2 linked regions of the Sus scrofa genome follow. The protein of the gene in region 1 purifies or fractionates together with the protein of each later gene. This does not show direct contact. Links are inferred from orthologs where the notes say so. Each region holds a gene or a part of one and is shown in the gene's direction. Other genes may lie near its edges.

Region 1 (3,650 bases):
ATTCTTTACTTTCCTAATAAAACCAGAGAAATTTGGGGGAAAGCCACAGCAAGACTGTGAAAGTATTTATTTCATGCTGTTACAAAATTCTGAAATATGATTCCCCCCCCCAGGAGAGGCTGTAAATTTTTAGCAAAGTCAAATGTCAATAATTCTAATTTTTTTTGTAGGAAGTCATTAATTGCTACTGTAGAGAAACAACTTCTAGGTGAACACTTAACAGCAATTCTTCAGAAAGGTAATTGGCAATTTATAAATAAGAGATTACTTTTTAAATGATAGCAGCAAACAAGTAGAAAATTTTTAAAGATTGCACCTTTGAAAATTTGCTAGCGTGTGGCTGCATTTCTGAGGATGGATGCAACCCACTTTTCCCTAGTCATCACTGTAAACTTAAGGAGGTGCTTCTTTCCTTAAGATACAGAAAGTAAGATGAGAGGACTCTACCAATACCAGTAAAGAAACAGTGGGAATTTGGGGATTTTTTATTTTAATTTGTAAGACTACAGTAATAAGGAAAGGCATTTTTTCACTAAAATGTTTCTGTTCCTAGCATATAAAACCAAGCATTTCTTTTTTTTTGCTTTTTTTTTTTGTCTTTTTAGGGCTGCTGCACCTATGGCATATGGAGGTTCCCAGGCTAGTGGTCCATTTGGAGCTAAGCTACTGGCCTACACCACAGGCAGCACAGCAACACCAGATCTGAGCTGAGTCTACAACCTACACCCCAGCTCACGGCAATGCCGAATCCTTAACCCACTGAGCGAGGCCAGGGATCGAACCTGCAACCTCATGGTTCCTAGTCGGATTCGTTTCCGCTGTGCCATGACGGGAACTCCCAGAACCAAGCATTTCTATTACTCCTAAGTTATCTATGAGGATGTCCTGAATTTTGACAGTGCCACAAATAGGCCAAAGTCTTACCTTTCTTTCCAGTCATCTTTTCTTTTGTGTAAAATATTTTAGAATTTTAATGCAGTTACGCTATTCATTCTGAAAATCAAATGCATTAGAACTTCATTTAAACTTTGCCTATTGGTACATGGGTTTCAATATACCACAGGCCATATCTAATACTCTAAAATATACCTATGTACACTGATGTATATATGGCTGTTACAAATTTGATATGAAGTATATATATTTATGTAAATCAGTTTTTATAAGTTGGTTTATACATGTGATCTGCCATACTAAATAGTATAAACTGCTATATTATTATTTTTATTTTTATGTAAAGTTTTCTATATTTAGTTTTCATTTGGAAAGGTGACTGTCTCTTTGAGTTTAATTCAGAGCACATATCCATATTAAAATCTAGTATCACAGTAATAATTTAACTTAATTTTCATTACAATATCTGATGTTTTCACTTTTTTAATAACAAATACTTCAAAATTCAGGTTTAAATAATCTCCTTGATGAAAACCGAATTCAAGATTTATCTCTCCTATATCAACTCTTCAGTAGAGTTCGAGGAGGCGTTCAGGTTCTCTTGCAACAGTGGATTGAATACATTAAGGTATTAACAATTAACCTGGTTTTTTTTTTTTTTCCTCTCATGGCTTATCATTTATATATCCAGAGTGCATATCAGCTAGCATTTAGTACTCGTGAGATCCAATTTTTTTTAAGTAATGAGAATTTTGAGAGCAGTCAACCTGAGAATGATAGCTGTGTGGAAAATTAGCAATAAAACAGTTACCTTCTTGATGTCTGATGTGATTTCTAGCTCTGATACTCAGAGCAGTGAATGTGGAGAAAGAAATAGGACCTTTTTTCTATCCAAATTTCTTCCCTTTTTTCAATCTTACACTGAAGGCAGATTGCTATTTTCTAAAAATTCAAAGCTCACTTCTTTAAAAGTAGGGAAAAGACCCTAGACACTTCTATAATAATACCCCATTATGATACTGTATACCCAGTGATCATTCATTATTTTGTGATTATAGATGAATGGTATTTTTTCACTATTTTTTTCTTTCCTTGACTTCAAAACTAGCTTTATTTTATTTTAAGTTTTTTGAGATTTTAAAGTATGTGTACCTACTTAAAATATGATTTTTGGATTATTTTCATTGTAGATAATTCAATTCTGGTAAAAAGTGGTTATTTCTGTTTTTTAGGCATTTGGTAGCACTATTGTAATTAATCCTGAAAAGGATAAAACCATGGTTCAAGAATTACTGGATTTTAAAGATAAGGTTGACCATATAATTGATATCTGTTTTCTGAAGAATGAAAAATTTATCAACGCCATGAAAGAAGCATTTGAAACATTTATTAACAAAAGACCAAACAAACCTGCTGAACTTATAGGTATTTTTCCAATTCCTTTCCCCAATTATTTAATGTTCTTCTTTTACTCATAAAATTTGAGTTAATCTGAAATTTTGACAAGGTTGTAGTAAATTAACACCTCATTTATTTGGAGTTACTTAGGTGATGATTTCTTTTTTTTTTATAATTTTTTTTATTTTCCCACTGTACAGCAAGGGGGTCAGGTTATCCTTACATGTATACATTACAATTACATTTTTTCCCCCACCCTTTCTTCTGTTGCAACATGAGTATCTAGACAAAGTTCTCAATGCTATTCAGCAGGATCTCCTTGTAAATCTATTCTAAGTTGTGTCTGATAAGCCCAAGCTCCCGATCCCTCCCACTCCCTCCCCCTCCCATCAGGCAGCCACAAGTCTCTTCTCCAAGTCCATGATTTTCTTTTCTGAGGAGATGTTCATTTGTGCTGGATATTAGATTCCAGTTATAAGTGATATCATATGGTATTTGTCTTTGTCTTTCTGGCTCATTTCACTCAGGATGAGATTCTCTAGTTCCATCCATGTTGCTGCAGATGGCATTATGTCATTCTTTTTTATGGCTGAGTAGTATTCCATTGTGTATATATACCACCTCTTCCGAATCCAATCATCTGTCGATGGACATTTGGGTTGTTTCCATGTCCTGGCTATTGTGAATAGTGCTGCAATGAACATGCGGGTGCACGTGTCTCTTTTAAGTAGAGTTTTGTCCGGATAGATGCCCAAGAGTGGGATTGCGGGGTCACATGGAAGTTCTATGTATAGATTTCTAAGGTATCTCCAAACTGTTCTCCATAGTGGCTGTACCAGTTTACATTCCCACCAAGAGTGCAGGAGGGTTCCCTTTTCTCCACAGCCCCTCCAGCACTTGTTATTTGTGGATTTATTACTGATGGCCATTCTGACTGGGGTGAGGTGATATCTCATGGTAGTTTTGATTTGCATTTCTCTTATAATCAGCAATGGTGAGCATTTTTTCATGTGTTTGTTGGCCATCTGTATATCTTCTTTGGAGAAATGTCTATTCAGGTCTTTTGCCCATTTTTCCATTGATTGATTGGTTTTTTTGCTGTTGAGTTGTATACGTTGCTTATATATTCTAGAGATAAGCCCTTGTCCATTGCATCATTTGAAACTATATTCTCCCATTCTGTAAGTTGTCTTTTTGTTTTCTTTTGGGTTTCCTTTGCTGTGCAAAAGCTTTTCAGTTTGATGAGGTCCCATGGGTTTATTTTTGCTCTAAGGTCTATTGCTTTGGGAGACCGACCTGAGAAAATATTCATGATGTTGATGTCAGAGAGTGTTTTGCCTATGTTTTCTTCTAGGAGT
Region 2 (4,207 bases), on another chromosome or scaffold:
GGAACCTTGAGTCCGCAGGCCCTCCTAGTGGGCAAACATGCAGAGGCAGAGAGATCCAGAGACTGAAGCCCCTGAGCTGCCTACGTTTAGAGGGTTACGGAGACAGGAGTCTGAACACACTTTGGGGCGCTAGTGGAACCAGAGCCTCAAATCCCGGGAGTCTGGGAGGAGTTTTGTCCTCCCCAAGCACCACCTCTCCTGCGGGGTGGAGCTGTCCCAGGTACCAATCCCGTCTTGCGGCCATGAGTCCGGACTCGCAAGGGTTTCTGGGAGTTGTAGTCCCAGGGCTGGGTGGGTGGGGTCTGAGTAACTGCACTTCTGGTTCTCAGCAATGCTAGGGACTGTGGTCACCACCCTGTGCCTCCCCCCTCCCCTCTCCTCCTCGCTCCCCTGCAGGTGTCGTGGCTGGGTGAGGAGCCGGTGGCCGGGGTGTGGTCAGAGAAGGGCCAGGTAGAGGTGTTTGCACTGCGGCGGCTCCTGCAGGTGGTGGATGACCCCCAGGCCCTGGCCACTTTCCTCCGAGATGAGCAGGCCCGCGTGAAGCCCATCTTCGCCTTCTCTGGCCACATGGGCGAGGGCTTTGCACTTGACTGGTCCCCTCGAGTGCCTGGTGAGTCCTTGGGGTGCGCCCTTGTGGCACAGTAGCTAAAGGATCCAGTGTTGTCACTGCAGTGGCTCGGGGTCGATCCCTGGCCCGGGAACTTCCACCTGGGGGCTGAGAGGGAGCAGGCTCTGGGAGGAGCGGGAGTGAGCCATGGCCGGGTGCCAAGACGTCGTTTCCCGACTCCCTCACCCAGGGCGCCTGCTGACCGGGGACTGTCAGAAGAACATCCACCTCTGGACACCTACGGACAGTGGCTCCTGGCACGTGGACCAGCGGCCGTTTGTGGGCCACACACGCTCCGTGGAGGACCTGCAGTGGTCCCCAACAGAGGACACGGTGAGGGAGGGCTGGGGGTCTCGACTCCAAGGTCTTGGGGGAGGAGGGGGCTGGGCGCAGGTCCTGCTGAGGGATCAGGATCTTCAGGGTATGTGGGGTCCACCAGGGTCCCTCAGACTCTGCCTTGTCCAGGTATTTGCCTCCTGCTCGGCCGACGCTTCCATTCGCATCTGGGACATCCGGGCGGCGCCCAGCAAGGCCTGCATGCTCACCACCCCCGCCGCCCACAACGGGGATGTCAACGTCATCAGCTGGAGCCGGCAGGAGCCCTTTCTGCTCAGTGGCGGGGACGACGGAGCCCTCAAGGTCTGGGACTTGCGGCAGTTCAAGGTACAGTCCCAGCTGGGCCCCAGGGGAGAAGCCCTTGCTTCCTGCAGCCGCTAGGATCTGTGGGGTTTCCCTCCTGTGGGGTTTATACACTGGTGCCGGGAAGGCCCTTTGAATCAGGGAACAGATGGGGCACCAGGCTCAGCAGGGACCAGGCTTGGGGCTGCAGTGGGGTTGCTCCATGCCAGCTGGAGCGCTGTCAAGAGGGGCAGGTGGTGGCAGGGACTCCAGCCGTCGCGCCGTGCTGCCCAGGGCCTCCGGGGCTTCAGAAGATCATAGTTTTGCTTCCAGTGGATTTCACAGCATGACTGGGAGAGGGACCCGAGGTGAAGAAGGGGCAGAGGCACACGGGGAGGGGGTGCGGTATTGCCAGCGAGGAGTGGACCTTGTAGAACTGTGGGGCTGGGGCAGCCTCTGGTGTCTCCCTAGACAGAGCCAGGGCTTCATGCACCTCTGTGCCCTCCCCAGATCATCTTTTTTCTTTCCCCAATGGAAGGGAGAAACTTCTGGAAAGGGAGCCCCCAAGGCAGGAGGTTCAGGGCCAGGTCATATGGCCAAGTGGATTGGTGGTTGGAACTTTGGAACCACCTTGCCAAATCACAGAGGCTCTGATCCCCACCTTTGCTTTAGTAAAAGTGCTATGCTCTGCATCAGCCTTCTCTGGAGCCCGGGAATGTTTTCGTTTGGTTTTGGTTTGGGTTTTTTTGTCTTTTTAGGGTCACACCCACAGCATATGGAGGTTCCCAGGCTAGGCGTCTAATCGGAGCTCCAGCTGCCAGCCTACACCACAGCCACAGCACCAAGGGATCCAAGCTGTGTCTGAGACTTACAATGCAGCTCATAGCAACGCCAGATCCATAACCCACTGAGCGAGGCCAGGGATGGAAGCCGCATCCTCATGGACACTAGTTGGGTTCATTACCACTGAGCCACACGGGAACACCTTGTTTTGCTTTTTGGTCATCCACGTGGCATATGATAGTTTCTGGGCCAGGAATTGAACCGTGCCACAGTAGTGACAACACCAAATCCTTAACTGCTAGGCCACCAGGGAACTCCCAGCCTGGGAGTGCTTTTGTCACCTTTAAGGCCTTCTGGGATGAACCTGGAGAGCCACATGTTCCTTTCATAGGAAAGGAAACGGAGGCAGGCCAGGCAGGAGCGAGGGGGGGTTCTGTGACCTAGAGCTGGGCAGGGCCTCTTGGCAGGTGAGGGCACTGCAGCCCCTGAGACATTACACCTTTGCGACCAGCTGCAGTTTGCCCTCTGTCCCTTTCAGAGAACCTGGGTTCGTGGGGGCACAAGGGGTGGAACCTTGGTTGAATCCCAAGGCTGGAGAAGGGTGGGGTACTCTGCCCAGGTCACCCCAAGAGTCAGGCTGAGGGGCTCAGAGGCCCTGACTCCGATCTTCCCACAGTCGGGCTCCCCAGTGGCCACCTTCAAGCAGCATGTGGCCCCCGTGACCTCGGTTGAGTGGCACCCCCAGGACAGCGGGGTCTTCGCGGCCTCCGGAGCAGACAACCAGATCACCCAGTGGGACCTGGCCGTGGAGCGGGACCCCGAGGCAGGCGACACGGAGACCGACCCCGGGCTGGTGGGCCTGCCCCAGCAGCTGCTGTTCGTGCACCAGGGCGAGACGGACCTGAAGGAGCTGCACTGGCACCCGCAGTGCCCCGGGGTCCTGGTCAGCACCGCCCTGTCGGGCTTTACCGTCTTCCGCACCATCAGCGTGTGAGGCCGCCCGCCGCCTGCCCGCCCGCGTCTGTCTGGTCCTCCGCTCGGGAGCGGAAGTTAAGTTCCTTCCCCTGGAGGGGACTCTCTCAGATCTGGAGGGGAGGCCAGCCCCCCCCCTCCGAAGGGACTTAGTTTGGCCGGTTGACCGCCCCGATGGATTCCATTTGACTTGGAAAGGTGTTGGTTTGGTCCAGTGACCCTTCCAGCCGAAGGATGTGGTTTGCCCCGTGGCCCTATAAAACCACTGGGTTTGACCCCACTGACCCCTCCTACCCAAGGACTTGGTTCAGCCCGGTGACCCCCACCTGTCAGAAGAGTCCATTGGCCCATTTCCCAGGTGGGCCTGAAGGTGGCTGTGTTGCTGCAGATACTCTGTTAGCTGCATGCCACTGGGCTTGACCCTTTGACCTCTCAGCCACTGGGCTCCCCCAGGGAACTCGCGTGCTTTGCAGTGGCTGTGCCAAATTTGAGGGCTGGGTTCTTCCAGCCGAATTTGGTTTAGTCCCTGTCCTCCTGCCAGCTGGATGTGGCCACAGAGCTTCCCAGGGAGAGGCTGTGTGGGGCCTTCTCCCCTCCTCCCGAAGGGGGGCGCTTGCAGGGAGGAAAAGTGCGGGCTCCCGAGGGGCAATAAAGGACCAGAGGAGATGCGGAGTGGATTAGACTTGTCCTCCTGGCCACTGGGTCCCTGCTGTATGTGGCCGAACCCTCAGCCCATTAAGTGCTGTCCGGTTCTGTCCTCCCTACATCCTGTTCCACCTGCAGTTCACCCCGGGTCTCTGGGCAGGAATCTCCCATGTGCCCCCCAGCATCTCGGGGACCCAGGGAGCCCCCGTCCCTCTTGTCTCTCCACCACTGTCCTCGTGGTCTCTGTCTCACTCACCATGTCTTTGTTCCCTCATGTGGGTCCCCGTCTTTCTCTGTCGCACTGGCGTCCCCGTCTGTCCTGCGTCTCCTGGCCCCCAAGCTCTGGCTCCCTGCCGCCTCCCCCTTCTGTGTCTCTCCTCCGCCACCGTCTCCTCACCAGCCTGCTTGGGCCGGGGCCCAGCCGCCCTGCCTGGCCGTCCTCCCTGGCTCCCCCTCTGCGGCTCTGGGCTGGCCCCACCCCCTGCCCCCCCTCGGGCCAGGCCTCTGATCTGCTGTGGACGCAGAGGTTGGGCGCCGAGGACAGACGGCAGCCCCTCAGCACCCACGGAGGCCTCCCCTGTG

Evidence for each region. Proteins that work in one complex are often made in the same cells at the same time.
Region 2: the proteins of CUL4B (region 1) and GRWD1 purify together in Homo sapiens (co-immunoprecipitation; 4 studies listed by BioGRID and IntAct, with this or other methods). This does not show direct contact. The link is inferred for Sus scrofa from reciprocal best matches to the Homo sapiens genes CUL4B and GRWD1.

The regions. Positions count from the first base shown.
Region 1 is NC_010461.5:98,685,524-98,689,173, reverse strand, and holds part of CUL4B (cullin-4B), read left to right. Parts: intron 1-170; coding exon 171-238; intron 239-1,403; coding exon 1,404-1,522; intron 1,523-2,126; coding exon 2,127-2,319; intron 2,320-3,650.
Region 2 is NC_010448.4:53,852,578-53,856,784, forward strand, and holds the end of GRWD1 (glutamate-rich WD repeat-containing protein 1), read left to right. Parts: intron 1-396; coding exon 397-610; intron 611-797; coding exon 798-940; intron 941-1,072; coding exon 1,073-1,270; intron 1,271-2,684; coding exon 2,685-3,002; 3' UTR 3,003-3,652; downstream 3,653-4,207. UniProt on the Homo sapiens protein: Histone binding-protein that regulates chromatin dynamics and minichromosome maintenance (MCM) loading at replication origins, possibly by promoting chromatin openness.